2 linked regions of the Pelodiscus sinensis genome follow. The protein of the gene in region 1 purifies or fractionates together with the protein of each later gene. This does not show direct contact. Links are inferred from orthologs where the notes say so. Each region holds a gene or a part of one and is shown in the gene's direction. Other genes may lie near its edges. The genes, in order: DRG1 and LRRC41.

What was found.
Region 2: the proteins of DRG1 (region 1) and LRRC41 purify together in Homo sapiens (affinity purification with mass spectrometry; 3 studies listed by BioGRID and IntAct, counting the BioPlex papers as one, with this or other methods). This does not show direct contact. The link is inferred for Pelodiscus sinensis from reciprocal best matches to the Homo sapiens genes DRG1 and LRRC41.

What each region holds. Positions count from the first base shown.
Region 1 is NC_134725.1:8,319,190-8,334,802, reverse strand, and holds the start of DRG1 (developmentally-regulated GTP-binding protein 1), read left to right. Parts: upstream 1-7,174; 5' UTR 7,175-7,291; coding exon 7,292-7,333; intron 7,334-7,463; coding exon 7,464-7,587; intron 7,588-10,890; coding exon 10,891-11,066; intron 11,067-12,393; coding exon 12,394-12,463; intron 12,464-13,861; coding exon 13,862-14,031; intron 14,032-14,470; coding exon 14,471-14,601; intron 14,602-14,800; coding exon 14,801-14,968; intron 14,969-15,263; coding exon 15,264-15,386; intron 15,387-15,613. UniProt on the Homo sapiens protein: Catalyzes the conversion of GTP to GDP through hydrolysis of the gamma-phosphate bond in GTP. Appears to have an intrinsic GTPase activity that is stimulated by ZC3H15/DFRP1 binding likely by increasing the affinity for the potassium ions.
Region 2 is NC_134719.1:3,143,172-3,159,287, reverse strand, and holds the start of LRRC41 (leucine-rich repeat-containing protein 41), read left to right. Parts: upstream 1-7,729; 5' UTR 7,730-7,818; coding exon 7,819-7,930; intron 7,931-8,443; exon of another isoform or gene 8,444-8,488; coding exon 8,489-8,575; intron 8,576-10,473; coding exon 10,474-10,544; intron 10,545-13,356; coding exon 13,357-14,599; intron 14,600-16,116. Other genes in the region: UQCRH (cytochrome b-c1 complex subunit 6, mitochondrial), read right to left, coding at 4,435-4,467, 5,416-5,577, 6,478-6,507, 7,544-7,594. UniProt on the Homo sapiens protein: Probable substrate recognition component of an ECS (Elongin BC-CUL2/5-SOCS-box protein) E3 ubiquitin ligase complex which mediates the ubiquitination and subsequent proteasomal degradation of target proteins.

The sequences.
Region 1 (15,613 bases):
AAGGGCGAGGTGGGTGACGCACTTACCTCAGCCGTATAGCTGAGGGGGGTGCAGAAAAATAATATAGAAAATTAATTATTTTAAGACAGGAGCTACTAAGGTATCGTCGCTCGTGCCTTGCGCAATGTCAGCGCTCCTGTCAATGTCAACCACTCCTTAGGGGTGCCGTTTCCTAAGGAGGTGCAATTTTATATTCTTTCCTCAGATGCAAAATTAGCTAGTTATGGCATTGATCATGTGTACCCTTATAGTTTCCCTTTGCCTCTTCTGTGGGGAAGCAAAGAAATCTGCAGGGGCTGTGAATTCTATACGCACACAGTGACATAGAATTTCCCAAGAGCAATCCTCTGAATGTTTGGCTGCTTTGGTTCAGTTGGCCAGTTTTAGTAAATACATTTAAAGCTGGGCCTAAGGCCAACTATGCTCCAATTGTCCATTGCCAACTATCCAATCCCCAATTGTTTACGTCTCAGTCACTTTCCGAGTTGTCCCATTATCTAACTTCCATTCTTACAATTGTCCATTTCCCCAAAGTGTGTCTCAGTCTTCCAGGATCATCTTTGGATTTCATTATTCAAATATATTTCCTATTGGGGACATTATATTCAAGAGAAAAGTATTACTCCCTGTGTAACCCATTATCAGTCTGTAAAAGGATAGGCTGTATTTTTGTGGTGCTTGCTTGAAATATTGCCCTCTGTTACTGTTAGGAGACGATCATATTGGGAAAGGATTTAGGAAGGTTCCAGCTCAGGGTCAGGAAACGCCTTTTCCCCCTGGAGATAAGAGAGCTTAGTGACTTTCACAGAATAGGGGGTCTAGGGTCTGGGCTAAGCATTTTTGAGGAACTACCTCCGAGGAACAAGTTTAAACAGAGCTTTTGCTAGTGTTAGTAACTTTGTTAATTAAATCAAAATCTAGGAAGGAGTAAGCTAGATACAATAAATGTATTTTTAGAACCAAGTGGAAAACTGTATGTTTTACCCCAGTGAAGGAACTAGGAATTCTTTGATCCTGAGGGCTGGTTGTTATGTTAGTCTCAGTAAATTCTGTTTTCAGGAGAGTTATTTTTTTGTTTGTTTTTCAAATAGAACAGGAAGTATCATGTGATCAGAATTGTGGAGACACACCCTGAGATGCTTTCGACTATTTTTGTGTAACATGAAATCCTTGTGGTGTATCAGAGATCCACAGGCCTCTCTACAGAAGCCACAGAACATATTTATTAGGCAACAGGTGGGTAGGAATCCTCTTTTAGGTAGCACTTTAGCTTTCTTTTAAGAGCGAGCACACTATCCTTCTTTGTAAAGTTCTCAGTTCCTTGAATTGTTTAGAAAACTACATTTTCAATAAACAATAAACCAAACAAGTATCTATAGTTCAGAGCTTTCCCTTAAAGGGGCAGTAACTTTTCCTTCCACCAAGCAGCTATTATTTACTCAGCCTGATCTGTTTTAATAGCATATTAGCTGAAGCTGTCCTGCTCTCACTGAGAGCTATGAAGGGGATTCCTCAGGGTCCAAGCTCCATTTCTCCATGTGGAGTTTTCCTTACTTTATTTCAGTGGTTCCCAATCTTTTTTATACCGTGGACCAGAAAATCCATTCACAAACTTCTGGTGTATCAGTAACATTTTATTTGAATAATTGCATGTTCGTTATGCAAATAATTAAAATGCAAATAAAATGTTACCAGTCTGTCCTACTTCCTGTCCCCAGCCCTTTGCCCAGGTCCCTCATACTCTCCAGCAATGACTCCTGCACTCCCCCATATTCCCTGCCTTGAGCCCCCTCAACACTTACATTTCTTAGTGTAAGAAATTTATGTTATTATCACCCCTCCAGCCGAGTATCTCATGAGCAGGACCATTAGTGGCAACCATATGGTGGACTCCTATGGGGCCAGGACCATAACAGGGAGGGGGTTGCAGCTTCCTTGGCGCGGTGGACTCTGTGTGGCCAGGCTCGTGCATGCACCCAGCCTGGGAGCATGTGTGGTGGGGAAGTTCCTCATGGCAACATGTGCTGCCACCTGCGTGCCCAAGTCCATGGCTGGGCCAGACACGGTACAGGGCGGGCAATAGTTGGGCAGCCACAACCTACTGCCCATATCCCTGCCCTTCTCATTGAGTGCTGGGTCTTGTCTCCACCCTGTCTACATCCCTCCAAGAAGTGCTGGTGAAATCTAGCACCCAGCCCGTAGCTATAGCCTCCACCTATGCCACCACCTTGGGGGATACCGGTCCACATGGGCTCCGCTCTGCCTCCTCCATGCCCCACTGCCGGTAAGGCCACTGCCTGCCCTGTCTTGGCCCTGCTCCCATGGGTGTGGCCTGGCGATGTGCCGTGGCCAGTGTTTGGGAACCACTGCTTTATTTGGTAAACTGGGGAGAGTTATTCTGCCAAGAGGGGCCCTCATTGGGGCCCAGAGAGCCCGCACTGCTCATTACAGTCCATCTTTTTGTTTACTGGTAAGATTTACAAACCCAACATTGACACTCAGATGGAGGGAAATGTCTTCCTTTTGTAGTTTTAAAACCATTACAATTTTATGGAAAAAATTTTACAGTGTGCATTTAAAATCTCACTCATCGAGCCTTGAAATCTTCCTCGTACAACTTGTCATAGTTTTACTGCCTTGAAGTGCAGCAAGAGAAATAACTAAGAGAGGGGTTCCAGTCTATGACTAGGGTACCTAGGTGCTAGGGTAATACAACAACAGAAATAGAAATACGTTTTCCCTAGAGTCATAATTTTCTGGCATTTGATTCCTGGTTGAATGCTGTGAGATCCACCTGGGCCTGTAATCTGCTGAGGATGTTAGTTACAGTCTCCTCAGCTACAGGTTGGACCTGACCAAGGGGATTTGCTGCATCAGGGGAGACCCCTGCCATTGGCTTCGCAGCCCCTCCCCATTGCCGGCTGCTTCTGGTCTGCTCCTAGACCTGCTGCCATCAGCTCAGGTGTAGGCTCCAGCTCTGGCCTTGCTGCCAATGGGCGTTAGCACCAGCTGCCCTTATGCTGGTTGTCCAGGCCTTCTTGGGGTAGGGATGTTATAGTATAAAAGTCGATTAATAGATAAGCAAAAGTTAATTGGTTAATGCTATAGACTACATGCATTTCTCTCCCCCCACACGTTGCCAGGACATTTTTTAGCAGGGCTGCCCAGGACCCTGGCTCAGTCCCGACTTCTTGGTACAAGTGCTGAAGGATCCAACCAGGGGCCGTGCACAGCTTGACCTTCTCCTCACAAACAGGGAGGAACTAATAGGGGACGTAGAGGTGGGTGACAACCTGGGAAGCAGTGATCATGAGATGGTAGATTTCAGGATCCTGACCAAAGGAAGGAAAGAGAGTAGTAAAATACACACCTTGGACTTCAAAAAAGCAGATTTTGACTCCCTCAGAGATCTGATGGAAAGAATCCCCTGGGATGTTAACATGAAGGGGAAAGGAGTCCAGGACAGCTGGCAGTATTTTAAAGAAGCCTTATTGAAGGCACAGAAAGAAACCATCCCGACGCATAGCAAGAGAGGCAAACCTGGTAGGAGACCGGATTGGCTTACAGGGGAAATCCTTGGTGAACTTAAGCACAAAAAGGAAGCTTACAGAAAATGGAAACTTGGAAAAATGACTAGGAAGGAGTTTAAATGAATAGTTCGAGAATGCTGGGGGGTTATCAGGAAGGTGAAAGCGCAAATGGAGTTGCGACTGGCTAAGGATGTGAAGGATAACAAGAAAGGTTTCTACAGGCATGTCAACAAGAAGAAGGTGATCAGAGAGGGTGTGCAGTCCCTAATGGATGAAGGAGGTAACCTAGTGACAGATGATGTGGGGAAATCTGAAGTTTCTCAATGCTTTCTTTGCCTCTGTATTCACGGACAAGGTCGGCTCCTGGACTTCTGTGCTAAGTGACGCAAGATGGGAAGAAGATGGACAGCCCTTGGTGGGTAAAGAACAGGTTAGGAACTATTTAGAAAAGCTAAACGTACACAAATCCATGGGTCCGGACTTAATGAACCCGAGGGTACTGAGGGAGTTGGCAAATGTCATTGAGGAGCCTTTGGCCATTATCTTTGAAAAGTTGTGGAGATCGGGAGAAATCCCGGATGATTGGAAAAAGGCAAATGTAGTGCCCATCTTCAAAAAAGGGAAGAAGGACGATCCAGGGAACTATAGGCCGGTCAGTCTTACCTCAGTTCCCGGAAAAATCATGGAAGGGATCCTAAAGGAATCCATTTTGAGACACTTGGATGAGAGGAAAGTGATCAGGAATAGTCAGCATGGATTCACAAAGGGCAAGTCGTGCCTGACCAATCTGATTAGCTTCTATGATGAGGTAACTGGCTCGGTGGACATGGGAAAGTCAGTGGATGTTGTATACCTTGACTTTAGCAAGGCTTTTGATATGGTCTCCCACAATATTCTTGCCAGCAAGTTAAGGGAATGTGGATTGGATAAATGGACGGTAAGATGGATAGAAAGATGGCTAGAAGGCCGGGCCCAGCGGGTAGTGATCAACGGTTCGATGTCAGGATGGCGGTCGGTTTCTAGCGGAGTGCCCCAAGGTTCGGTTCTAGGACCGGTTTTGTTCAATATCTTTATCAATGACCTGGATGAGAGGATAGATTGCACCCTCAGCAAGTTTGCAGATGACACTAAGCTAGGGGGAGAGGTAGATACGCTGGAGGGCAGAGATAGGGTACAGAATGACTTAGACAAATTGGAGGATTGGGCCACTAGAAATCTTATGAGATTCAACAAAGACAAGTGTAGAGTCCTGCACTTGGGACGGAAGAATCCCAAGCATAGTTACAGGCTGGGGACCAACCAGTTAAGTAGTAGTTCTGCAGAAAAGGACCTGGGGGTTACAGTGGATGAGAAGCTAGATATGAGTCAACAGTGTGCCCTTGTAGCCAAGAAGGCTAATGGCATATTAGGATGCATTAAGAGGAGCATTGCCAGCAGATCCAGAGATGTCATTATTCCCCTTTATTCGGCTTTGGTGAGGCCACATCTGGAGTATTGTGTCCAGTTCTGGGCCCCCCACTACAAAAAGGATGCAGAAGCATTGGAGAGGGTCCAGCGGAGGGCAACCAAAATGATTAGGGGGCTGGAGCATATGACCTACGAGGAGAGGCTGAGGGACTTGGATCTGTTTAGTCTGCAGAAGCAAAGAGTGAGGGGGGATTTGATAGCAGCCTTCAACTTCCTGAAGGGAGGTTCCAAAGAGGATGGAGAGAGGCTGTTCTCAGATGGCAGAACAAGGAGCAATGGTCTCAAGTTGTGGTGGGAGAGGTCCAGATTGGATATTAGGAAAAACTATTTTACTAGAAGGGTAGTGAAGCATTGGAATGGGTTACCTAGGGAAGTAGTGGAGTCTCCATCCCTAGAGGTATTTAAGTCTCTGCTTGACAAAGCCCTGGCCGGGTTGATTTAGATGGGATTGGTCCTGCCTAGAGCGGGGGGCTGGACTTGGTTCTATGATTCTATGATAAGGGGATGGTTGGATGAAATAACGGGATCTTGGTAACTAATTGACCATTCATTATCAGTTTGAAATAGGTCAATGGAGGGATGATAGGAGTTGCTATAGGGAACTTTCTGAGTGTCTGGCTGGTGAGTCTTGCCCACATGCTCAGGGTTTAGCTGATTGCCATATTTGGGGTCGGGAAGGAATTTTCCTCCAGGGTAGATTGGCAGAGGCCCTGGAGGTTTTTCGCCTTCCTCTGTAGCATTGGGCACATATCTTTGATATAGGTGAGAGGATTATTCTAAGAGGGGTGGGTGAGATTCTGTGGCCTGCACTGTGCAGGGGGTCAGACTAGATGATCATAATGGTCCCTTCTGACCTTAAAGTCTATGAGTCTATGCACTGGGCACTGGACCTACCCCTGATATGGCTCTGCATCTAAAGTGTATTAGGAGCCAGGCAGGCAGGCAGCCCAGCTCATGTTGGGTTGGGGAGCTCACACCTCCCCCTTCCCCCAACAGGGGCTACCTGTGGACTATGGAATAATCAACTAACCGATAAAAATTCACGAGGATAATAGACCCTTCTATTAATCAATTATCAGAGGGGTAGCTGTGTTAGTCTGAATCTGCAAAAGCGGCGAGGAGTCCTGTGGCACCTTATAGACTAACCAAAGTGTTAGAGCATAAGCATTCATGGGCAAAGACCCACTTCGTGAGATGCATGTAGTGGAAATTTCCAGAGGCAGCTATAAATATGCAGGCCAGGATCAGACTGGAGATGATGAGGTGGATCCAATCAGGAGGACGAGGCCCACTTCTAGCAGCTGATCTGGAGGTGCGAATTCCAAGAGAGCAGAAGCTGCTTTTGTAGTTAGCAAGCCATTCACAGTCTTTGTTTAATCCAGAGTTGATTGTTTAGCCACTTCTAGTAGCTGATTCTAGATCAGCTACTAGAAGTGGGCCTCATCCTCCTTGATTGGATCCACCTCTCATCTCCAGCCTGATCCTGGCCTGCATATTTATACCTGCCTCTGGAAATTTCCACTATGTGCATCTGACGAAGTGGGTCTTTGCCCACGAAAGCTTATGCTCCAACACTTCAGTTAGTCTATAAGGTGCCACAGGACTCCTCGCCGCTATTAATCGATGTTTAACATCCCTATCCTGGGGCCAGAGCTGCGCCGCCCACTCCCCCCTCGTGCTAAGGGGCTCCTGCCAAAATGGCCACCCTCCCCTATCCCTGGGCTCTGTGGCCCAGCACTGTCCGTGGCCCAGTGCCGGAGCAGGGCGGTGCAGCCCGTAGTCTGAACCACACTTCATTCTTTGGGGCGCCCCGCAGCCCCCCTATGGGGCAGAGGAGAGGAAACCCCGGGACGGATTTGAATTGCTGCAACCAGCGGGCTGCCGAGCCAAGGCACCAAGGCGGAGGCTGCGGCCGGGCCAAGCACAGCAGCCGCGGGGCAGCTCCCTGCAGGGCTGCGATGGGGTGTGTCCCCCGCGGTGCAGGCAGCGCTGCGGGCCCGGCTGCCCCGCCAGGCGGCGCTGAGTCCTAGGGGGCGCTAGGGTGCCGGCTAGCCCCGTGACATTGGGACGCGTCCTCCTCGGGCGGGCTGAGGGCGCAGTTTCCTGCGCGGGCGGGGCTCGCCGGGGGGGCGTGGCTTGGACACTGACGTAGCCGCCTTCTGTGCCGCGGGGAAAGCCCCGCGAGGCTTGCCTCCTCTCGCGCGGTTTCGCCGGGCGCCTGCGCAGTGCGGGGCCCGCGGAGGAACGCCGGGGTCGCTGCGGCCTGGTCGCGCGCGCGAGGGAGCGTCGCCAACATGAGCGGGACGTTGGCCAAGATCGCGGAGATCGAGGCTGAGGTAACCCGCTTCCCCCCCCCTCCGACGGGCTGGGCGAGGCCGCGCGGGGTCCTGCGGGCGGGGGCGCGGGGGCAGCAGGGGCCGCCTCCGCGGCGGGCAGTAGCGAGCGCTGCGCTGTGCTGCTCCGCAGATGGCCCGCACGCAGAAGAACAAGGCCACGGCGCACCACCTGGGGCTGCTGAAGGCGCGGCTGGCCAAGCTGCGGCGGGAGCTCATCACCCCCAAAGGCGGCGGCGGCGGCGGCCCCGGAGAAGGTGGGTCCCCCCCCCCGCCGCGCCCGGTCCCGGATCGCTCCCCCCTCCCCCCCCGCCGCGCCCGGTCCCGGATCGCTCCCCCCTCCCCCCCCGCCGCGCCCGGTCCCGGATCGCTCCCCCCTCCCCCCCCGCCGCGCCCGGTCCCGGATCGCTCCCCCCTCCCCCCCCGCCGCGCCCGGTCCCGGATCGCTCCCCCCTCCCCCCCCGCCGCGCCCGGTCCCGGATCGCTCCCCCCTCCCCCCCCGCCGCGCCCGGTCCCGGATCGCTCCCCCCTCCCCCCCCGCCGCGCCCGGTCCCGGATCGCTCCCCCCTCCCCCCCCGCCGCGCCCGGTCCCGGATCGCTCCCCCCTCCCCCCCCGCCGCGCCCGGTCCCGGATCGCTCCCCCCTCCCCCCCCGCCGCGCCCGGTCCCGGATCGCTCCCCCCACCCCCCCCCCCCCCGCCGCGCCCGGTCCCGGATCGCTCCCCCCACCCCCCCCCCGCCGCGCCCGGTCCCGGATCGCTCCCCCCCCCCCCCCCCCGCCGCGCCCGGTCCCGGATCGCTCCCCCCACCCCCCCCCCGCCGCGCCCGGTCCCGGATCGCTCCCCCCTCCCCCCCCGCCGCGCCCGGTCCCGGATCGCTCCCCCCTCCCCCCCCGCCGCGCCCGGTCCCGGATCGCTCCCCCCACCCCCCCCCCCGCCGCGCCCGGTCCCGGATCGCTCCCCCCACCCCCCCCCCCGCCGCGCCCGGTCCCGGATCGCTCCCCCCACCCCCCCCCCCCCGCCGCGCCCGGTCCCGACTCGCCCCCCCTTCCCCTCCCCGCTGCGTCCCGGTGGCTTCGCTGTTCCGTTGCCAGCTGGCACGCGCCATGGGCTGGCTTCAGAGGGCCGTGTTGTGACTACACGCACTTGCCGTGGCACGGCCCTGGGGGGAGGGGCGGGGCATGTGGCCTCGCTGGCCGGGGGCGGCCTCACACTGGCGGCGACGAGCGAGTGTGTCCGGGTCTGCAACCCACCCTGAAGCACTTGTCCGTGGCCCTTCGTGGAGGGAGACGCTCACACACACGGGAGGAGTCCTGCAGCACCGCAGCGACTCCCCAAGCGCCCGGGTGGAGTGCTTTCGGCAGGAGAAGGAGGCTGCCCCACCAAAGCTCCTGACACCAGCTGTTTCGTGAGTCTCTGAGGTGCTGCGGGGCTGTTCCTTGTTTTGTAAGTTTTTGTCCAGTTACAGACTAACTCAGCTGCACTCCTCTGACACTTTTATTCAGGGAGGGGTTAGGGCAGTGGCAGCCTTTGTAAGCACAAGATCACTTTTTCTATCTAAGTCAGCAAATGGTCTGGTAGCACTTTATAGACTAACAAAATGTGTAGATGGAATCATGAGCTTTCATGGGCACAGCCCACTTCTTCAGATGACTGGAGTTCAGATTAGAGGACAAGGAAACTCAAAATAGCCAAATTTGTCCTACCTCCTTCCCCACCCCTTCTTCAAGGCCCTGCCTTGCTCATCTGTGGATACTGGGTACAAATGTGGAGGGAAGATGACATCCTGGCATCAGTTCTCCCCTCTTCTGCTTCCCTGCACAGCCAGCAGGAGGCTCTTGGGGGAAGCTCTAAGGGGGAGGGCAGGAGCAGAATGGCAGTGGGGAGAGGGGCAACTGAAGTGCTGCACTTGGTAGTCTCTTGGCCAAACCAGTAAGATCACCGCCATACGCGCCAAGATCTACCAATAGATCCTGATCTACTGGTTGGTGACCCCTGGGTTAGGGAAATTGCTGCGTTTGCAGAAACTGGGGTGGTGGCAGTTAATGAAGCACCTTGCTGGACCGCCTCATTTTTAAATGGGAAAGTGTAGCCCACCTCAGATACATTGCTCAGAATCAGTACTCTGACCTTCTTCTGAATAGCCTGCCAGTCCTGTTTTCTGCTGTGCCTCTCTCTCCCCTGCCTCCTGCAGAGACCATGCTGAGGGGAACTGGCTTTTAAGCTGGCTTCCACCAGCTGCTGTTCCTTCCCCCTCATCTTTCTGCCTCTCTCTGATAGAGATATCAAGGGAGTGAGGGAAGCAACTAGTTGCATCACTGGTTAATAATCCTATAAGCTTCTGCTTATCTGATTATTGACTAGTCTCTTACATCCCTAATATGAATGGGTCTCCTCTCCAAAAACTAGACATTCTTTGAATTTGCTTTTTGTTAATTTCTCTCTCTATTGACAGATATAAGTATAAAAATGTTCCTGGGGATGACAGAGTGGTTGTCAGCATGTCACTCTGCATCTCTCTCCCCTACTTCCTCCCGGCCCCGGTTCCCCCTCTGGCAGCTCCTTAGGGTGCACTTTGAGCTCCCTGCTGGCCCTTGGCTCCACTGCAGGAGGGTCAGGAAGCAGCAGAGGTGGCAGCCACCCCTGGCCCCACTTATATTTTTGGGTCCGGGGCCTCGAGGCAAACCACTGCTGCCATCTTCCTTGGGCCAGGAGCTTGAGCCGCCACCTCCCTCATCTGCCTAGTGCTCCAGTGTCATTCTCCCCCTTTCCCTTCCAGTGCAAAATTAGAGCCTCAGCACAGCTGGCTGCCTGCAGGAGGAAAGGGGAGGAGAATGCACTGAAGGTTGGGGTTAAGCCTTGGGGTGTTCTTCCCTCCCCAGAAAGCAGGCACTAGTGCTCTAATCTTGTGAGGGGGCCCATGAAGCTGGAGCACCAGATGGGTGTCAGCCCGAGGGAAGTGGCAGTGACTTCCCCATTTGTGCAGCAGGGAAAGCCTCTAATGCCTGGGAGCGGCTGTGGCATGAAAAGAAGCAAGTGCTTCCACAGCCCCTTGTACACAGACCCTGCATTCCCAGTGCCTGATGCACTCTTCCCCCCTACTGCTGCCCCAGACTGCTCCTGTCCCTTCCCCTCCCTGACTAGATACCCTACCCTCAGCTTTCTCCTGCCCTTGTGTTGGCTCCTGACCCATCTACTTGGCCAGACACCCTGCCCCCCTGCCCCCAGCCTGCTACTGCATCCTCCCCTGCTCCCCCCCCTCTGGCCAGACACCCTGCACCCAGTCTGATCCTAACCCTTCCCCCCCAGCCAGCACCCTGCTCATTTGGGGCCCAACCCCCCTCTGGCCATGTTCCTGGGCCTGATCCTTGGACAGGCCTCGCGGTCCAGCCCCTATCTGGCTGCAGGAAGGACTGGTGGCAGCCTCCCTCCTGCTGCGGCATGAGTAGGAGGAGAGGTCATGATCCAGCTGCAGTGGAAAATGGGGGGTTGGTGAATGTAGTGAGCAGGGGGCACAGTGCCCTAGTTATTATTATTAACACTTATTTTTATTATGTTGTAGGTTTTGATGTTGCGAAGACTGGTGATGCTCGAATTGGGTTTGTGGGTTTTCCCTCAGTGGGAAAATCTACTCTGCTGAGTAACCTTGCTGGTGTGTATTCTGAAGTTGCAGCATATGAGTTCACCACATTGACTACTGTGCCAGGAGTCATTCGATATAAAGGAGCAAAGATACAGGTGAGACCCTTTTTCTAAAACGAGGTGTGTATAAGTTGGCTTTGACACTAGCTGAACTATCTAAACTATTGTTAAATTAGAGGTAAAGTAGTATGTGGGAATGTTTTGTGGAGCTACTTCTAAACATCTTTTACTGAGTTTTAACTTTAAACATTTGTCAGTACTGCCCATGGTGCTTCAGTGGGAAAGTTCTACAGCTGGGGAGTTTTTCCACAATTCATTTAATACAACTCTCCATACTTCATTTCATCAATACAAAATTGGAATTAAATTTTGGATGTTGTGGATAATCAGCTGAATAGGAGCTTCAGTTGGGATGCTGTATCCAAAAGGGCTAATATGATTGTCAGATGGATAAATGGGAAATGTCAAGTAGGGGTATAGAGAGGTTTTTTTACCTCTGTGATTGGCACTGGTGCAACTGCTTCTGTAATTTTGCATTCAGCTCTGTTGCCCATAGTAGGGATGTGAATGTGTAGCCAGCTATACAATTAACTGGAAAGCCTAGGCTTATCGGTTAATCTTGTTGATTACATGCATTCCCCCCTTCTTGTTTCTTCTGATACAGAGTGTGGGGATGGGGATAGACTGGAGCCAATACATGTGAGGAACCAGCTTTCAAGCCAGCTCTCTACTGTATCAGAGGCAGCAATGTAGGGCAGCAGGCAGCTGATCCACAAGGGGAGCTGGTTTTGAAACTGTCTTTGTTTGCGTACTGATTCTGCTTGCCATCCTGCATTGCTGTCTCTTCTACCCTGTACTGCTGCCTCTGTGGCAGGGAGCTCCCTGGGAGTGGGGTCAGGAGTGCACTGGCTTTGCTGCTGGGCCTGCTCCTGGGGACTCTTGAATAGTCATGCAACTGCTAAGAATTCATGCAGTTACAGAACTATTTGTTTGCACAATATCTAACATACTTAGGCTACAATTTAGCAAAGATGTTGATTAATTGAGGGTTTAGAGAAGAGCTATGAGAATGAATAAAGAATTAAAAAACATTGAATAGTGTTAGACTCAAAGAACTCAAAAGAAGGCTATGGGGTGACATGATTAGTGAGTAAGTATCAGAGGGATAGCCATGTTAGTATGTATTTGCCCACAAAAGGTTATGCCCAAATAAAACCCTTAGTCTTAAAGATGACACAGGACTCCTCATTGTTTTTTGCAATGATTTAGTACCTACATGAACAAATTCTGAGACAATTTTTTTCTGTCATCTTCTATTGAGATCCCCAATAGATTCAATTAACTTTAGAAGTGGGATGAGGTCTTGTTCCTTTGTGGCAAGGGAGGCATACATAATGTATTTCCTTCTTCTCTAAACACACAGCTTCTTGATCTCCCGGGAATTATTGAGGGAGCTAAAGATGGGAAAGGCAGAGGTCGGCAGGTCATTGCAGGTGAGTGGCATAGGGCTGGAAGAAGCAGTCTGTCACCAATATAGCCATTATCATTTCTGCTGGAGAAGCACCAGTTTGAGTTTGCTTTCTGGGCTTGGGAAATCCTGTATTTCTAATGCCTTGAAAGTATTCGTTTCTTTTATAGTGAAGTGAGTTATTTAATCCATAGACAAAGGGGGGAAGTGGTTGTGTTCCACTTGAATGGCTAGATTGCCTGAAGATTGGGCAGACCCTAATACTGAGATGTTTTGTATCTGCCCTGAAGCACTATGTTTCAGATTCAGGCCCAATTTCACATTAAACAAAACTTTTAATTTCTCTCTCACTTATTTCCTATGCCTTTTTTGAGGTGTTGAAATGTAGACATCAGGACTATTTCATCGATTTGATTCTTTAGGTTAGAGTCTAACATCTGCATTAGGTGATATTATTTTACTAAACTTAATCTGGCAGCACAAAACCCAATAGGTTATTGACCAAGAAAATCTAGTGATGCTTTAAAAAACGTGACATGACTTATTCCTCATTGGCAGGGCTCGCTGAACCGTGGTGAGCCCCGCTCACCAGCCGTGCTGTCCAGCGATCTGTGCATGCGCAGATCGTTCTGCGCATATGCAGATCGCCCGAACCCAGCTCTTCCGGGTTGCAATCTACTCGCCCGTGGCAAGGAGATTGCATTATTTGTTGAGCTCTGCTCATTGGTTCTCATGGGTCTCACTGTCTTCATCAGAAGACACGTGCCTCTTAAATTCAGCCATGCAGTAACTTACTGCTCTCTCCACATGCCAGGCTAATGGCAGTGAAGAAAAAATCATTGTGTTAAAGTGGGATACTGGAATTAACTGCCGCCCACATTGCTTCTCCAACTGCCGTATTGAGGTGAAAAGATTAGTTCTGAAGCCATTCAGTCATTGACCTCTGTTTGCTATCCAGGATATTAGGTAGGAAGGTTTAAGTTCAAGCTATATGAGCTAACTGGCCTTTTTACCTTTAATGGCTTTTACATAAGAATGGCCAGACTGGGTCAGATCAAAAGCCCATCCAGCCCAGTGTCCTGTCTGCCCGCAGTGGCCAATGCCAGATGCCCCAGAGGGAGGGAACACAACAGGGAATCCTCATGTGATCCCTCTCCTGTCACCTACCTCCAGAAACTTTTATATAATGAAAACATCATGATATAGACTAAGACTAGAAATTTTGCTCTTTTAGGCCTCCGAACGAACTTTAAGTGGTAACTAAATTGCAGTTGCTACCAACTTAAATAGGATTCAACCAACTGATGGTATCGCATCTTGTCACCAGTTTTGATGGATATTTTTGTTTTTCTAGAAGTACTGTACTTTTTAAAAAAGGTCTGGGAATTAACCCACTGGAGGAACTTTGTTTTCTGATCCTCAGTTGCTCGAACTTGTAACCTCATTCTGATTGTTCTGGATGTACTAAAACCACTGGGGCACAAAAAGATAATTGAGAATGAACTGGAGGGCTTTGGAATACGGCTGAATAGCAAGCCCCCAAATATTGGTTATAAGAAGAAAGATAAAGGCGGCATCAACCTCACAGCCACAGTAAGTATGAAAATTACAACAGGCTGTTATGATGGGGGATTCAGAGGGCTGCTTAATTCTAGAAGGATGCTGTCTCCATAAATGGAGAAACTGGTTACACTGGTTCAGTGCTTAGGAAAGAGTTCCTTCTCCATCTGGGATACTCATGCTTGCAGCAGTGACCTTCTGGAGGCAATACTTGCAGTAACTAAGTGAAGTCCAGCCTCTGAAAACATCTTACTAGAGCCCTTAATGGGACAAATGGGATCAGTAAGGCAATACTATGAATTGAGATTTCTCTCCACTGTCCCCAAGCCATCTATGCCAAAAATATCAGTTCCAGCAATTTGCAGTATATTAATTATTTCTTGACTGTGTGCAGTTAGGTGATTATATTTAGTCAGTTATTACGTTCAGTGATGCTAACTCCTCCAATCTCTAACGTTATCTATGTGTACAGTGTCCGCAGAGTGAACTAGATGCGGAAACAGTGAAGAGTATCTTAGCAGAATATAAAATTCACAATGCTGATGTCACACTGCGTAGCGATGCCACTGCTGATGACCTAATTGATGTTGTTGAAGGAAACAGGTACTGTCTTCATTTATAAACACTCCCTTCCACCCCAATTCTACAGTCTGATTCCAATACAAGCCAGCTTACTGCTGCAGTTTTTCCCCATTCCTTGTTTCTTACTCACTCTTGGATGTTTTTTCCTCACAAGGACAGTAGAATGGAGTAATTTTGGATGTTGCTGACATCCCCATATCTCGTGTCCTTCTCTTTGCAGAGTTTATATTCCATGTATCTATGTGCTGAATAAAATTGACCAGATTTCCATTGAAGAACTGGATATCATTTACAAGGTGCCACACTGTGTACCAATCTCTGCTCACCACCGGTGGAATTTTGATGACCTATTGGAAAGAATCTGGGACTACCTGAGGCTGGTGCGAATGTGAGTCCTAGTGACTAATGATGTTCTGTGTAGTTAGGTAAAGTTTTATACCTAAATAGCCTCTTGGAAGCTGTTTCCCCAGCTGGGAGTTGAGTTGCCTTACTGCCTGGTAGGAGGGTGAAAGAATAACTTAATATCAGAGGTCTCCCACCAGTCACAATTTTTCAAGATGTGACTTAGGATGTTGTGGAAACAAGACTCTGTTGTGGAGATACTGCTGTGTTAAAAGAATATTGGGGGTGGAGAAGGAGGTGCTGGGGTTTGTTGTTGGTTGATTGGTCATTCTGTATTGCAGCTACACCAAACCTAAAGGACAGTTACCAGACTACACTTCTCCTGTGGTGCTTCCTGACTCCAGGACCACAGTGGAGGATTTTTGTATGAAAATTCACAAAAATCTCATTAAAGAATTTAAATAGTAAGTATTTTCTGCAGAAGGTTATTACTATATACTAGAAACTCAATAACACCTTAAATTCCCCTGCATCCTCTTTCCAATGGTGTATATTGTGGCCCAAGTTGTTATTTTCCCCGGTATATTTCTAACTTGGAGGAATTGTAGGAGTTGAAGTTCCAGCCTGGATACAAAACAGTTCTGTTCCAATCTTCTGTCTGTACAAATGACTATTTTTCATTACTTAATAG
Region 2 (16,116 bases), on another chromosome or scaffold:
AACAGGATGTGCCTGGAATACGATTGTTTTTCATTAAACAGAAAAGGAGGGGTCTGGTAGGAGGGAGTCATACTGCAGAATGACCACAGGAATGAAGCAAGGAACTGTTGGTTGAGGGTTCGAGCCCTGCCCACCCTGGGGGCAGCAATACCAGCTTCCCAAGGGATGGAGCTGTCACCCTGGAAAAGTAGGGCTGGGGAAGCTGGTGGTGACTGAGCAGGAGGCTTCGAGTGGTGGGTGAGGTTTGGCGTCTTCCCCCCCTCCCCCACACCCTGAGGGCAGCCACTACTAGCTTCCTGAGGAATAGAACTAGCACCCATGGAAGGTGGGATTGGGGAATCTGGGGGCAGATATGGGGACCAGGATGGGAACCCACCGGGGCAGCAGGAGTTGTTCTTGCCTGCCCCCAAGCTGCTGCAGTGACAGAGGGATGCGGTTGTTCTTTTTCCTTGGGACAACCTGCATACCAAACCCCTCCATCTCCATCTCAGAGCATCGATATAAATTAAGAAAAACAAGACTTCTTTAAGGACCCGAGCAACACTGGGTAAATCTTCTAGTTTAAACAATATATTATTCTCACAGCAAAATGATTGACCAAGTATTATCAACTACAATTAACAGTAAAAGCATCCTGATTAGTTAATAAGACTAATAATTAAATCACTGTTTGATATCATGCACTGCAAATAGCTGCAGGAGGCACCTTAAAGAGTCATTATTTTATTAGTTTAGCCAGGGTGAGGAAGAAGGGAACAGGTTCCTTCCAGACAGGAGGTAAAATGTGGAAGTACAAGTCTACATTGTGGGGGAGATCAGCTTTTAAGGTATGCAATTCCAGCTACAGAAACATTGACTCCCCGTATGTACCTTAAGCCGAGCTAAGGTTCCCTCTTCACTGCAGGAAGTCAATAGGAGAAACGCTCCCATGAACTTCCTGTACTCTTTGCGACAGTGAGGAGTGCCAGCATCAACAGGGGTGCTCTCAGTGTTCAACTTAGCATTTCCCCACTAGGCCTGCTAAATCAAATGCCTGAAGATTGACAGCAGCAGTATCAATCTTCCCAGTAAAGTAGATGGCCCCTAAGTTCCTACAATGGAAGCCACATTTACCTAGGGAGACACTGGGATCAGCCTGGCCTTTTCCCAGACAACGAAGCTTAGGGAAGGTATAGATCAGTGTTTCCCAATTTTATTTGGCTGAGGAACCCTGTTCAGCTTTTCAGAATTTCAAGGAACCCCTAGGTTTGTCAAGCAAAAAAAAAAAAAAAAAGAGGGGGGGGGGGAGGAAAATCCCCACCAATGCATGAAAATCACATTCCTTCCCCAAGACCCCACCCCCACCCCTTCCTTGAGGCCTCCCTCCTGCCCTCCCCTTGGCTGTGTCTACACTGGCACAATCTTGCGCAAAAGCTTGCTTCCTGTCTATACTGGCCGCATATTCTTGTACAAGAACACTGACGATCTCATGTATGAAATCAGGGCTTCTTGAGCAAGAACTATGATGCTCCGGCTTAGGAATAAGCCCTTTTGCGCAACTGTTCTTGCTCAAGAGGCCAGTGCGGACAGGCAACATGAATTTCTTGCGCAAGAAAGCCCTATGGCTAAAATGGCCATCGGCCCTTTCTTGGGCAAGAGAGCGTCCACACTGCCATAGATGCTCTTGTGCAAAAGCCCAGCTCGCAAGTACTGAGTTCATGAGGCTTGGTTGGATGTGCCACTGCGGCACCCAAGTTATTAATAAATATCTTATAAACCTCGACCTTTCCCCTCTGCTGCCATGTCTCCTCCCCTTGTTCCATCAGCTCCCCTGGTGCCTGCTGCCCCTCAGCTCCTCACTCTCCTCTGCTGTCCTGGCTCCTGCCCTTCTCACTGCCCTCAGCCTTCCTGCTACCTGCCCCCTCCACCAGCCCTTCTCTCCTCTCAGTGCCCACTCCTCCAGTAGCCCCACTCTGATCATGAGCTATGCCTCCTCATCCCCTCTCCTAACACCTCCCTCTGCACGCCTGCCCTGCCTCTCTCCTCTGATGCTGGTCCCTCCACTGCAGGTGTCTGCCCTTCTGCTTCACCCCCAGAATCCCTTGACACCTGCACCTTCTCTTACCCCTGCACCCTCCTGATGCCTCCCCCTTCCCTCACTTCCCCCACCCCCTTTGCTCCCTTTTTCCCTGATGCCCACCCACCACCACCCTCTGTCCCCATTCCCCTCATGCCCCTGTGCCCTCTCACATGACTTGCTCCATCCCGGCCTTCCTCATGCCCACCCCTTCTTTCAAGCCTTCTCCCAGCACCTCCCCCTCTCCCCTCTTGCCCCCAATGTCCTTACCTTCTCCCCTCCCAGCATCACCCTGTCCTGCTCCCACTGACACCTCCCCTCTTGCCTTTTTCCTCATTGTCTGCACTTGGCCCTTGGCATTTGTCTCTCCTGCACCCTTCCCCTCTCTTCCCCCCCACCCCCCGCACAAGCCCCTTCCTCTCCCAGCCCTTCCCCTTCCTTCTGCCTTCCACTTTGCGAGGCTGAATTCTGCGCTCTGTTCCCAGACTCCAAACCCGCAACTCAGCCACATGGCGCAACACAGCACCCAGCAGTTTTAAAATCCCAGGCCATGACGTTATGTCACTCCCAGGCATCTCCCCACCCACCGGTTTGAGCACGCCGCTCAGGGCAGCGGCAGCCGGCAAGGGGGAGCTCAGTGAAGGTTGGGCACGGCAGGGACGTGCCTGGGGTGGGAGGACGTGCTGGGGGGCCGGGGCCCACTCCAGCTCTAAATATTGGTGGAACATGAGCACCACAAGCCCATACAACTGGCTGCCCATGCCTCTGCTGGCTAGCCGGCTCTCTTCTCTCTTTGAGAGGGGGCAGGGGAGTGCTGGCTCCTCGCGGAAGCCCTAGTTTTGCTTCGTGGAACCCCAGGGTTCCCCGCAGCACCAATTGGGAAACACTGGTATAGATAGAAGCAAAGAACACCCCTTTATCTTGAAGCTAGGAAGTATTTGGGCAGTGTGATTACATTCACAAGATGCTGGTGAAAATGCTGCTATATCAATGCATTGAACATGCCTATCGGACATGATACCCAACATGATTTCTGCCTGTAATTCTTGCTGTAGTACAGATACCAGGGACAGTGTTTTCAAGTCAGAGGGCTGTTTAAAACAATGGGAACCTTTTGTATTGCACATGTTTCTTTTCTTTAAGTTAGTCTGCAGGTAGCACATCCATCTCTTGTAGGGGAAGGGACATAAGTACCTTGTATGTTTTTATTAAGGCAAGATACTGACAGATTTACAATCTAGTCTCCACATACAGGAAGACTAGGGCCCAGAATATAAAACTATGGTACGCCCACATCTTGAATACTGTGTACAGATGTGGTCTCCTCACCTCAAAAAAGATATTTTGGCCTTGGAAAGGGTTCAGAAAAGGGCAACTAAAATGATTAGGGGTTTGGAACGGGTCCCATATGAGGAGAGGTTAAAGCAACTGGGACTTTTCAGTTTAGAAAAGAGGAGACTGAGGGGGGAATATGATAGAGGTCTATAAAATCATGAGTGGTGTGGAGAGGGCAGATAAAGAAAAGTTATTTATTAGTTCCCTAAATAGAAGAACTAGAGGACACCAAATGAAATTAATGGGTAGCAGGTTTAAAACTAATAAAAGAAAGTTCTTCTTCACACAGCGTGTTGTCAACCTGTGGAACTCCTTGCCAGAGGAGGCTGTGAAGGCTAGGACTATAATAGAGTTTAAAGAGAAGCTAGATAATTTCATGGAGGTTAGGTCCATAAAAGGCTATTAGCCAGGGGATAAAATGGTGTCCTTGGCCTCTGTTTGTCAGAGGCTGGAGAGAGATGGCAGGAGACAAATCGCTTGATCATTGTCTTCGGTCCACCCTCTCTGGGACACCTGGTGCTGGCCACTGTCGGTAGACAGGATACTGGGCTAGAAGGACCTTTGGTCTGACCCAGTACGGCCGTTCTTATGTTCAGAAAGAATCTCTTGACAGCGCCAACAAGCAAGAAGGTCATATGAACTATTTGATCCTGGCATGGCATGCTACTGACAATGATTATGCACAAGGGAATTCTACAACAGGGGAAAAAAACCTCCTCTCCCACCTGTCTGGTTATGAATATCAATCATCATCATCCAGCCATAAAATGAAACCATTTCCACAGGAACTTTGAATATGTTTAATATGGAGGGAAAAAATCCACAGAAACAGTAGATGATGTTGTTTACAGCTGCGCATTTTTTCACAGAACTTTGATGCTGTGACCCGTTGGCACTTGGATCATTGCAGCACAGCTAGGAAGCTGTTCTTGTATACTGTACATTCACAACAATAGGCAGCAAGCAGCACTTGGAATCCAAAAAGAAACTGCACCAAGTTCCAGCTGAACAAGAGAGGCAGGTGGTGAGTCTTGCTCCAATATTTACTTCAGACTCTTAAAGAGTTTGTGAGCCACCTAAAAAGGGAAGAAGAAAACTTTCACTAACGGACCAATTTACTGAATATAAATGTCTTGAGGACTGGACAAACATCACATTCGCTCTTCACTTCCCTGTCTGTGTTCCTATCAGAGTGACTAAAACTGGGGCAACTTAATTAGGGGATTAATCACAGAGAAGTGTGTGTCCCTTGACCATCCAAAATTTTCTAATGATCTAATATGGTCCCACCTTGGCCTTTCTTCAAAAACTTATGATGGCTTCAAAAGTGTATTTCAAACCAATTACTATAGGCTGACAAACTAGCAGTCTGTTTGTAGGATTTTTTGTAAAGCCAAATGTTCTTAAATGCTAATATTTTAAATTAATCCACCTGCTTCAGAGATGACCTGTATTTAGTAGCTGTACTGCAGTGCATACTAACCAGCACAGGGCCCTCTGACAATAAACAGCCATTCCCCTAGAGCATTCTTATCTCATACAAGATGTCCTATAAATGTAATGGTTATAATCAGACAATTGCAACAACAACAAAAAAAAACCAAGAACAAATAAGTAGTTAAGAGAAAAGAATTGACCCCATAGAATCAAGGTCCAGAGTTCTTCAAAATTAAATACATGACTTTGCTTCAGTAGATTATTCACCCTATACTGCAATCAAATTTATTAGAACATCAAGAGCTTTATATAAGTAGTCTGCCTGATGGATAAGGAAGCAGGAGACCTGGTTCTATTCTGGCTCAGTCACTGGCTTACTGGGTGACTTTCACCTCTGAGCCTCAGTTACCCAAATCTGTAGAGTGGGGATGATGATACTGCCCTCCTTTGCAAAGTGTTTTGATATCTACTGATGAAGAGTGCGAGGTAACAGCTAGGTACTATAGAAATAAGGCATTTCAGTCACGCCCCCATTAAAGATTGCAAGCCAACAGAAATGACTAGAGATCAGCCTCTGCTGGACTTACACAGTGGTCCCTGGCATGCAGAAAGTCAAACAGCTCTTCCGTACAGTCCTCCTGTGTGTGGGACCTTGAGGACACTCGCGCATCACAGAGCTCTAGCTTCTCCCGGGCCTTCACGCACTTCTCCGTCTGCTCACAGTGCTCCCTTATTGTGGTTAAAGGATCCTGAAGATCAAGTTAAAAGGTTGAGAACAAAAAGTCCAATAACCCCGACTACTGTAGTTATTAATTCTACGTGGTTTGATGCAAAGACTAGGCTTTGAGAGTTCAGACAATATTGCCAAATCAAATTCTACTGTATGCTGACAAGTAACATTTATATATAATGCTATACATCCACATCCAAGCCCTAACCTTGGGGGGCATATCCTCAGCTGGACAAATTGCCCCTGCTTTGTACCTCTTCTAAGAAGAGACAAGAAAAAGGCACCACCACCAGCAGTGGTGCCAGGAGCTTTTAAAGCTCTCAAACTGAAAAAACATATCACCATATAACCTACACATTATAAGGCAGGCCTGATAATCAGCAAGCTCATAGACAGACATTGGTAAACACCTCATGCATTTGCACATATAACATAACATGCACTTATTTTGCGTACACTACCAGATATGCCTAAGCATATCTTGATAGCCATGGTACAAAAACGTATGCACAGATGTACACCTACAAATTCACTGAAAACCAGTTCCTTATATATTAGCCTACTCTGTTCCCTGTATGCTGCACAGAACAATGAAATGCCACAAGTGTTTTCTTTCATCAGCCCCTTTTCTTCTTTTAATTTGATATCAGCTTAACAGAAGAACGACCACACTGGGTCAGAACAAAGGTCCATCCAGCCCAGGATGCCAGGTGCCCCAGAGGGAATGAACAGAACAGGGAATCATCAAGCCATCCACCCCCTGTGGGCCATTCCCAGCTTCTGACAAACAGATACAAAATCCAAAAGAACAAGCTTGTTTGATCAGAAACAACAAGCGCAGCTCACTCCCATTCTAACACGTTTGTGTTTCTTGCATCCCCCCGAGTAGAAGAGTTTTCTCCGCTTCCGTAGTTCTTACCACGAGCTCGGCCTCTTCCTCCTCCTCTCCCTGGGGGAAGAGACCAGACACCGGTCAGTGATGCTGTGCCCCCCACAAAGCCTTAAACCCTTCAGTAACATCCAGCACGGGCTCCCAAACTGGGGGGGGGGGGGGGGGTGAGGAAGTTCCAGGAGGGGCGCGAGGCGACCCAGCCCCCCCCCCAGTTGTGTTTGCTCAACGGGTTTTGTTGTGGGGGGGGCGGGGCGGGGTCTTTTTCCCCAAAACTCAAGACGGGGGCGCGACGCCGAAACGTCTGGGAGCCGCGGGGCGCGATGCGGGGGGAGCCAATCCCGGGCCCGGAGCCACGCGGCGGTTCCCGGGTTTGTTTCTGATTCGAAGGCCCCGCGGAGCCCCGAAGGCAGCGACCGTGGCCTGGAGCCTCCGCGTCCCCAGCAGGACCCCGCCCGGGGGGGGCTGGCGTGACCGGGGGGGGGGTCTGCGCTGCTGCTCCGCCCCCGGCAGGTGGACACGGAGCCGAGCCGCCCCTCACACTCCGGGCCCGACAGCGGGAAGCTGCGCCCGCAGGGAGCGGGGTACGGGAGCCGGCAGAGAACACAATTATTGTAAGGAGGAGAAGAATGAGCGGGATACGGCGGCCAGCAGGGGACACAATTGTGAGAAGGGCTGTACCGCACGCGGGCCGCGCGGACAGGGGCACGGGGGCCGGCAGGGGACACAGTTATGAGAGGGGCTGTACCGCACGCGGGCCGCGCGGACAGGGGCACGGGGGCCGGCAGGGGACACAGTTATGAGAGGGGCTGTACCGCACGCGGGCCGCGCGGACAGGGGTACGGGGGCCGGCAGGGGACACAGTTATGAGGGGCTGTACCGCACGCGGGCCGCGCGGACAGGGGCACGGGGGCCGGCAGGGGACACAGTTATGAGAGGGGCTGTACCGCACGCGGGCCGCGCGGACAGGGGTACGGGGGCCAGCAGGGGACACAGCTAAGGGGCAAAGGGCTGTGCCGGGGGCCAGGCCGCGGTGGGGCAGGGGCGAACCCCGGCCCTGCAGCCGCCGGGACAGAGCGGGCTGGACCTGCCTTACCTCAGGATCCCCGCTGCCGCCCTCCAGCATCTCCTCGTCCCGCAGCCCCATCGCCGCCCTGCTGCCGCGCGCCGGCCGGGCTCCCTCCCAGGCCAAGAAGGACTCACCAGGGTCACCCGCCGGAAGCCCCGCCTCCCCGTGACCCCCTCACTCACCCGGAAGCGGAAGCCGGGCTCTAATGCCCCGCCCCCAAGATGGCGGCGGGGCCGGCGCTCTCCTGTCCCCTGGGCGGCCCCGTCCGTAGCGCGCGGGGCTGAGGGAAGGCGGCGCCCGCCATGGAGGCCCGGGCGGAGGGAGAGGCTGCTGCCGGGAGCCCCCCCAGTCTCTTCGAGCTGAGCGGGGCGGTGGTGAGCGCCGCCATGGGCGCCCTGGAGAGAGAGGTTTGGGGTAAGGGGGGGCCCCGCCTGCGGCGGGGGGGGGGTCCTGGGCCTGTCCCAGTACGTGGGGGGGGGGTCACGTCGGTTCTAGTGCAGAGGGGGAGGGATCGGCGGCGGGGGGGTCTCAGTACGTGGGGGGGCGGGGATGCCCCAACTTCAGTGTGTCTGGATGCTGGGGGGGGGGGGGGTTGCAGGCCTGCTCCAGGGCAGCGCGTCTGGCGGGACCGGAGCTAGGCCTGTGACATCTGCGAGGCTGCACTTGGAGCATCCTGTGTGCGGGCCAAAGTCACCGGGGCACCCTGGGGTCTTGGTGAGCAGGGTGTGATGCCCAGGAGGCTCCGCTGTGGAGCTTCACTGCATCATTCTGGCTACAGTGGTGATGGGTTCCTGTCCCTGTTTCAAGTGCAAGCTCCAAAATGCACATTCGTGTGACCATAACGCATGTACCCAGGTGTTACCCTAGTGGGAACTTTACTCTCCGTTTTACTTTGTCGTCTTTCTAAATCTTTTCCATACTTTTCAGACTTATAAAGTGTTCTGCATCTGTTCTCTTCCTCCATCCCCAAAGCACTCCCAGGACAGATACTTCAGGGCATCCTGCCGTTGCTTAATATCTATTACCTGGAAAGGATTGAGGAAACTGCTGTGAAAAAAGGTCAGTTTTATTTATAGAAATTTATTTTCTGAAGTTGAAGGGTTGTTTGGTTTCCATTGTCCATTCGCTTCTTGGCCTCTTTGTCGAGATTGTCAACAAGGAATAACAGTTACTATTGGCTATGAGAAGCTTTTGGGGGTTGATGCTTTCCTTAATTGGAACTGGATTTAGATTTTAGAATGCCACATGTTTCTTATGGAACACTGAACAGCATTAAAGATAATGTTTTTCAGTGACTGCTGACCATTGCTGGCGAGAAATAATTATATAAAAGACTGGAGATATCTGGTGTATTCAGTCTCTTTAAATAGATGAGAATTCAGTGAAAATCGCCAACTGTATAGTTTTTAAAAGACACCATCAATTCAAATTTCACCCCAAACTTTGGCTTTCTAAAAATATTAACAATTTGTAATATTGTCCGGAGCAGCCTTTGTCTGCAGCGGGCCTGGAACGGCCATAGGTTAACAGCTTAAATTTCATGTTTAACTGGTTAACCAATTACATGGGATTTTACATCCCTAATATTAAGACAGGAATTAGCCCAGAAAAGGTTTAATTACTTTATAATAATTAATTAATTACCGAAACTAAAAGAATAATATGTGTAATATATAACATGGGAAAAGATTATTTTTGTAGGAGATGTGTTTTAAAAATTAGTTTAACCTCATCGCACCTCTAGCAAACATAAAATGTCTTATTTTAAATCAATATCAGTCTAGTGCTCTGAATAGTCTCAAAAATACAACTCATGTTTCTAATCTTGTTGTTAACGGTTCTAAATCCTGCTGGAAAGGGATAACAAGTGGAGTTCCTCAAGGGTCTGTTTTGGGACCCGTACTATTCAATATCTTCATCAATGATGTAGATATTGGGATAGAGAGTACGCTTATTAAGTTTGCAGATGATACCAAACTGGGTGGGGTTGCGACTTCTTTGGAGGATAGGGACATAATTCAAAATGACCTTAGCAAGTTAGAGAAATGGTCAGAGGTAAACAGGATGAGGTTTAATAAAGAGAAATGCAAAGTGCTCCACTTAGGAAGGAACAATCCGTTCCATACATACAAGATGGGAAGCGACTGTCTAGGAAGGAGCATGGCGGAAAGGGATCTAGGGGTCATAGTGGACCACAAGTTGAATATGAGTCAACAGTGTGATGCTGTTGCAAAAAAAGCAAATATGATTCTAGGTTGTATCAACAGGTGTGTTGTAAGCAAAACTCGTGAAGTCATTCTGCCGCTCTACTCTGCACTAGTTAGGCCTCAGCTGGAGTACTGTGTCCAGTTCTGGGCGCCACATTTCAAGAAAGATGTGGAGAAATTGGAAAGGGTACAGAGAAGAGCGACAAGAATGATTAAAGGTTTAGAGAACATGACCTATGAAGCCAGGCTTCATGAACTGGGCTTGTTTAGTTTGGAAAAAAGAAGATTAAGGGGGGACATGATAGCGGTTTTCAAATATCTAAAAGGGTGTCACAAGGAGGAAGGAGAAAATTTGTTCCTCTTGGTTTCTGAGGACAGGACAAGGAGTAATGGGCTTAAAGTGCAGCAGGGGAGGTTTAGATTGGACATTAGGAAAAAATTCCTAACTGTCAGGGTGGTCAAACATTGGAATAAATTGCCAAGGGAGGTGGTGGAATCTCCCTCTCTGGAGATATTTAAGAACAGGTTAGATAGACATCTGTCAGGGATGGTGTAGGTGGAGCTTGGTCCTGCCTTGAGGGCGGGGGGCTGGACTCGATGACCTCTCGAGGTCCCTTCCAGTCCTATGATTCTATGATTCTATGATTCTTATTTGTGTTAAATTAACATCACTGTGAAACCCAAGAGAGGAGAGTTGAGCAAAGCTGTTGAGGTGGAGGATTTCATGTAAAATAAAAGTTTGTTTTTCAGGACTCTCAACCGAGCCAGTATGGCACAAACTGTGGAACGATGTGATGAAAATCAGACCACCCAAGTCAGAGGTGAGTTGGAAACGTTTTGATAAAGCAATTTAGTAAGGACACAAAGTTTACACTCCAATCTTGCTAACGCTTATGCATCTGTTTCACTTTGAGCATGAGAGTAATTCCATTGATTTGAGTGAGACTACTGATGTGTCTAAACTTAATCATGTATAAATGCCTATAGGATCAGGGACTCATGTGTTACCATGGTATTCAAAATAATGATGTTAAATATTGGTTAATTGCATAGTCAGTTAACCTCATGATTTCTTATCAGTTACTCAACTATTGTGGAGTCCCCAGGAGTGGAGCTCAACAGCCAGTGTGCTCCGTCCACACTCCCAAGGAGCCCCCTGCCACTCTGCACTGCTGCCTCTGTATCATAAGAACGGCCGTACTGGGTCAGACCAAAGGTCCATCTAGCCCAGTAGCCTGTCTGCCGACAGTGGCCAGCACCAGAGAGGGTGGAACCGAAGACAATGATCAAGCGATTTGTCTCCAGCCATCTCTCTCCAGCCTCTGACGTACAGAGGCCAGGGACACCAATTCTATCCCCTGGCTAATAGCCTTTTATGGACCTAACCTCCATGAAATTATCTAGCTTCTCTTTAAACTCTGTTCTAGTCCTAGCCTTCACAGCCTCCTCTGGCAAGGAGTTCCACAGGTTGACTACACGCTGTGTGAAGAACTTTCTTTTATTAGTTTTAAACCTGCTACCCATTAATTTCATTTGGTGTCCTCTAGTTCTTCTATTATGGGAATTAATAAATAACTTTTCTTTATCCGCTCTCTCCACACCAGTCATGATTTTATAGACCTCTATCATATCCCCCCTCAGTCTCCTCTTTTCTAAACTGAAAAGTCCCAGTCCCTTTAACCTCTCCTCATATGGGACCCGTTCCAAATCCCTAATCATTTTAGTTGCCCTTTTCTTGAACCCTTTCCAAGGCCAAAATATCTTTTTTGAGGTGAGGAGACCACATCTGTACACAGTATTCAAGATGTGGGCGTACCATAGTTTTATACAGGGCCAGTAAGATATTCTGTGTCTTATTTTCTATCCCTTTCCTAATAATTCCTAGCATCCTATTTGCCTTTTTGACCGCTGCTGCACACTGTGTGGAAGTTTTCAGAGAACTGTCCACGATAACTCCAAGATCCCTTTCCTGATTTGTCGTAGCCAAATTAGCCCCCTTCATACTGTACGTATAGTTGGGGTTCTTTTTCCCGATGTGCATTACTTTACACTTATCCATGTTAAATTTCATTTGCTATTTTGTTGCCCGATCACTCAGTTTGGTGAGATCTTTTTGGAGTCCCTCAGAGTCTGCTTCTGTCTTGATTATCCTAAACAGTTTGGTATCATCCACAAATTTTACCACCTCACTGCTTACCCCTTTCTCCAGATCATTTACTGTATCAGAGGCAGTAGTGCACGGTGTCAGGCGGGAGCTGGTCTGTGAGGGGAGCCAGTTTAAAAAACAGCTTCCCTTGTGGACTGCCTGCCTGTCACCCCACTGTATCAGAGGCAGCCGTGCGGGGTGGAAGCAGCCCCTGTCTACGGGGTGTCTTGAGTATCTGGACCTGGCATGAGCTGGAACTGAGTTGAGCTGCCAACCCAGCTCATAATACACTTTAAATGCAGAGCTGCAGCAGGGGTAGGTCCTGGACCCAGCAGAAGCTGGAATTGAGCCAGGCTGCTGGCCAACCTGCTAAAAAAATTTACTGGCCGACGGCGGAGGCAGGGCAGAAATGTGTGTAGTCTATAGCATTAACTGATAAGCTTTTGCTTACCGATTAATTGACTATACTATTACATCCCTTATTTGGTACTTAGCTAGATCTTTTCATCCAGGAGGCTGCTATAGCACTTTGAGGGCTTAATATATTGGGCTGGAGAGCAAGCAGGTGCATTCTGAGTCGTGGGGCAGAGTTGGCAAAATCTAGCACTTTTTGCAGAAAAACGTCCGTGCCAATCTAGATGCGGTTTTGTGCAAGAAAGCCCCAATCGCCGTTTTCACGATAGGGGCTTTTTTGCGCAAAACAGTATTGTGCTGTCTACACTGGCCGTCTTGCGCAAAAGGGACTTTTGCCCAAACGGGAGCAGCATAGTATTTGCGCAAGAAGCACTTATTTCAGACAGTAGGAAGTCAGTGTTCTTGTGGAAATTCAAGCAGCCAGTGTAGACAGCTGGCAAGTTTTTCCACAAAAGCAGCTGCTTTTGCAGAAAAACTCGCCAGTCTAGACACAGCCCTCGGGAATAAGCCATTGGTGTCTGGACTTCCCATTCTGACATACCGAGCCCTCCTGATTTTAGTTAAGATGGATTCCAGTACCTTTCAGAATGTCAAATGCTGGCGTGCAGCACAGAATCCATGTAGCACAGGCTGTGGCATTAGGAGCTTGTTAGCCACCACTGTCCCCCCAAACATTCCTGAAGGAACTGCTTGTTGGGGGTCAGACTGTATTTCAGTCTCCCTGGCACATTCAATTCCTTGATCTCTGCTGAGGGTATGTCTAGACTGCATCCCTCTGCTGACAGAGGGATGCAGTCTAGACATAGCCTGAGACCGATATCTGGGAAAGTGGTTACAAAATCTCAGAGGCGTAGCCGTGGTAGTCTGTCACTTTAAAAGCAACAAGTGGCAATGGTGGTTTTTGTGAAATGACTGAATCCACTAAATACTTGTCAGAGGATAACAACTTATTGACCTGGACGGAATCTGGATTGGCATCCGAAGGTGAACAACCACCCCTCCATCTCCCTCTTTCCCACTGTGACCTTGTTTAAATGAGGATACAGTCCATTAACTCTGGGATATTTTTACAGAACATAGCAAGCTGGAGGAAGAAATTCCTTGAAACTTTCTTCTCGAATGTCCTGCATGGAGTTTTGGATGTTTCTTCAGATCAGCGCCTGAGTGACCAGCGGTTTTCGCCCCTACTCCTCAGCTCCCGGCATGTTACACAGCTCACCATCTGCAATATGCTGCAGGGGGTAGCAGAGCTCACTGCTCAGCCCAACCAAAGAGTGCTAGAAAACCTGGCCAGCTCCCTGAGAACCTTGAAATTCCGTCATCTGCTGACCTCTGATCTGTCCATTAGACAGTCCCTGAGCTTGCTGCTCCATCGTCTGATCCACCATGGAGCGGTCAGCCAGGTGTCCATGTGTTCCTGGCCTGTTCCCGACAAAATACTTTTAGTCCTCATTCTGACCATGAGTGCTGGGTTTTGGCACCCAGGTAGGACACTTGTGGACCAGGGCCGCCCTTGCAGTCTTTGCAGAGAGGAGTCTGGTGCCCAAAGCCTGTTAACTCAAGAGGATGATGCCCTGTTCAGGTCAAACCAGCTGTGCTGCGGATCCACCCAGCAGTCAGAGCCAGGCCAGCAATCAGAGCCAGGCCAGGGGGGTGATCGTGAGACCAGAAGCAAGACAGTCCAATTTGTTTCACCCAAACTGCTTCTAGAAGCTGATCCTGACTCTCACGCTTCTACCGAACTGTCCAGGAGCAGTAGTTGCACTGTTAAAACCCCAGTGCTCTGTGGCTCGAGGAGCCATCCTTTGCAAAACCTCGCCTGCCCTGATGTACGCTACAAAGTACCCCCCGGACATTGCAACCTGAAAGACTCTTCTTCTTCCCTCACGGAAAGGTGTTCGGCTAGCCCCACTTTCCAAAAGCCCTATAGACGGTTCAAGCCTCCAGTGGGGAGGAAGCGCCGCTGCCCCAGGAGAAGCCGCAGAGCTCACGCAGATCCGGAAGACCTTTATGATTTTGTCTTCGCCGTTGCTAGGGAGGAGGAGGAAATAGCAGAGTCCCTCTACGAAAGCGGTGCGCAGGAGGGGGAAACCATTGATGGCTGGGCCCCTTCTGCAGCAGACACTCCTAGCTTGGAGGGCGTTGGCTGCACAGGAGGATCTGTTGGGATCCTTCCTCTGAAACCGGCATGCCGCTTCCGAAGTGTGTCCGCCCTGGAATTGTTCTCCATCCCGCTGACCGGGGACACCTGTCGGACTTTGGGTAACCTGTTGAGCTCTTGGGCATCTCTAGAAAAGCTGGTTCTGTCTTACAATGGTTAGTAGCAACAACAGAGCTTTTACTCTCAGGTGTGTTGGGCAATTTGGTGTCAAATTCTAAAAGCGGCTAAGATCTGCTCTGAAATGTTGGTGGGGTGGAACAGGCATTACCGGGCACTCTTAGGGGATGTCTAGACTACATGCCTCTGCCAACAGAGGCATGTAAATTAGATATACCAACATAGACAATGAAGCGGGAATTTAAATATCCCCCGCTTCATTAAAATAAAAATAGCCGCCGCGCCGTGCCGGCTCAGCTGATTGTCGGCACAACGTGGCAGTCAAGACACGGATCGGTCGACAGGGAAAGCCGTTGTCTACTGCTCCCTTATGCCTTGTGAAAGGAGCTTTACAGAATCGGTTGACAATGGCTTTTCCTGTTGACCGATTCGCGTCTTGACTGCCACGTTGTGCCGACAATCAGCTGTGCCGGCACGGCGCGGTGGCTATTTTTATTTTAATGAAGCGGGGATATTTCAATCCCCGCTTCATTGACTATGCCGGGTGGTCTAATTTACATGCCTGTCAGCAGAGGCATGTAGTCTAGACATACCCTCAAATTCACCCTGAAAGGGAGCAAGGATAGTTCAAACCATGCAAGCCTGTCTTTAAGTAGGGACGTGCATGGGACAACAACAGGGTTTAAAATACAAGGCGACGATCTAGAGGGGGGCTGTATGTTAGAGGAAAAGGTGCCAAGATGCAAGTAGAGAATTAGGAAGATGACATGAGGAGAGAGAGGAAGAAAAGCCTCTGTACAGTGCATAGCATAATGGGGCCCTATTCCTTGGTACCACATTATCCATAATTAATAATAAAATCATATTTGAAGGCGGTCCAGAGGGGATTCTTCACTGCATAGTAAAAACATCCCATATGGTTTTTTGTTCCTGTGTACATTTACGGTAACTTTACTTTGGAGAAGGAACTGGGATGTAAACCCATCAGATTAAAGGGACCCATGAGTCCAGCTAGGAGGCGTGGGGGTGAAAGAGAGCAATGGTGAGGTCTGATATAGGGATGGGAATGGTGAACCAGTAAGCATCACCCTTCCTAGTTACAGTTAACCAGTGGGGGCTGGAGCAGCAGCAGCTCACCTCCCACCAGGGCCTGCTCCAGTCCAGCCAGAGCAGACCCCACCTGCAGCAGGTCCAGCTTTGTGCGCCATGGGCAGAGACACGGAGAGCCTGACCCAGCTGGAGCAGTGCGCCACGGTGGGGAGGAGGCTGTAGCCCACCTTTCCCGGTTTAAACGGGATTTGACATCCACTGTCTGAGAGGTCCTAGCCCTCCAGACTCTTGCCTGCGGTAGAGCACCCCCACTAGGCTCTGGTGGAATCAGTGGAGTTCGGTATGAGGAGATGTGACCGGAAAAGAGCTTAGACTATAGATTGTTCCCGAAAGGAACTGTCAGAAGCCCCATTGCTGGGGATGTAGCACTGGCTAGGGAAGATGGACAAGTGACCTATGTCGAATGTTGAAAATCTCTGGAGTGCTAAGCCCTGGCCTAGAGTGA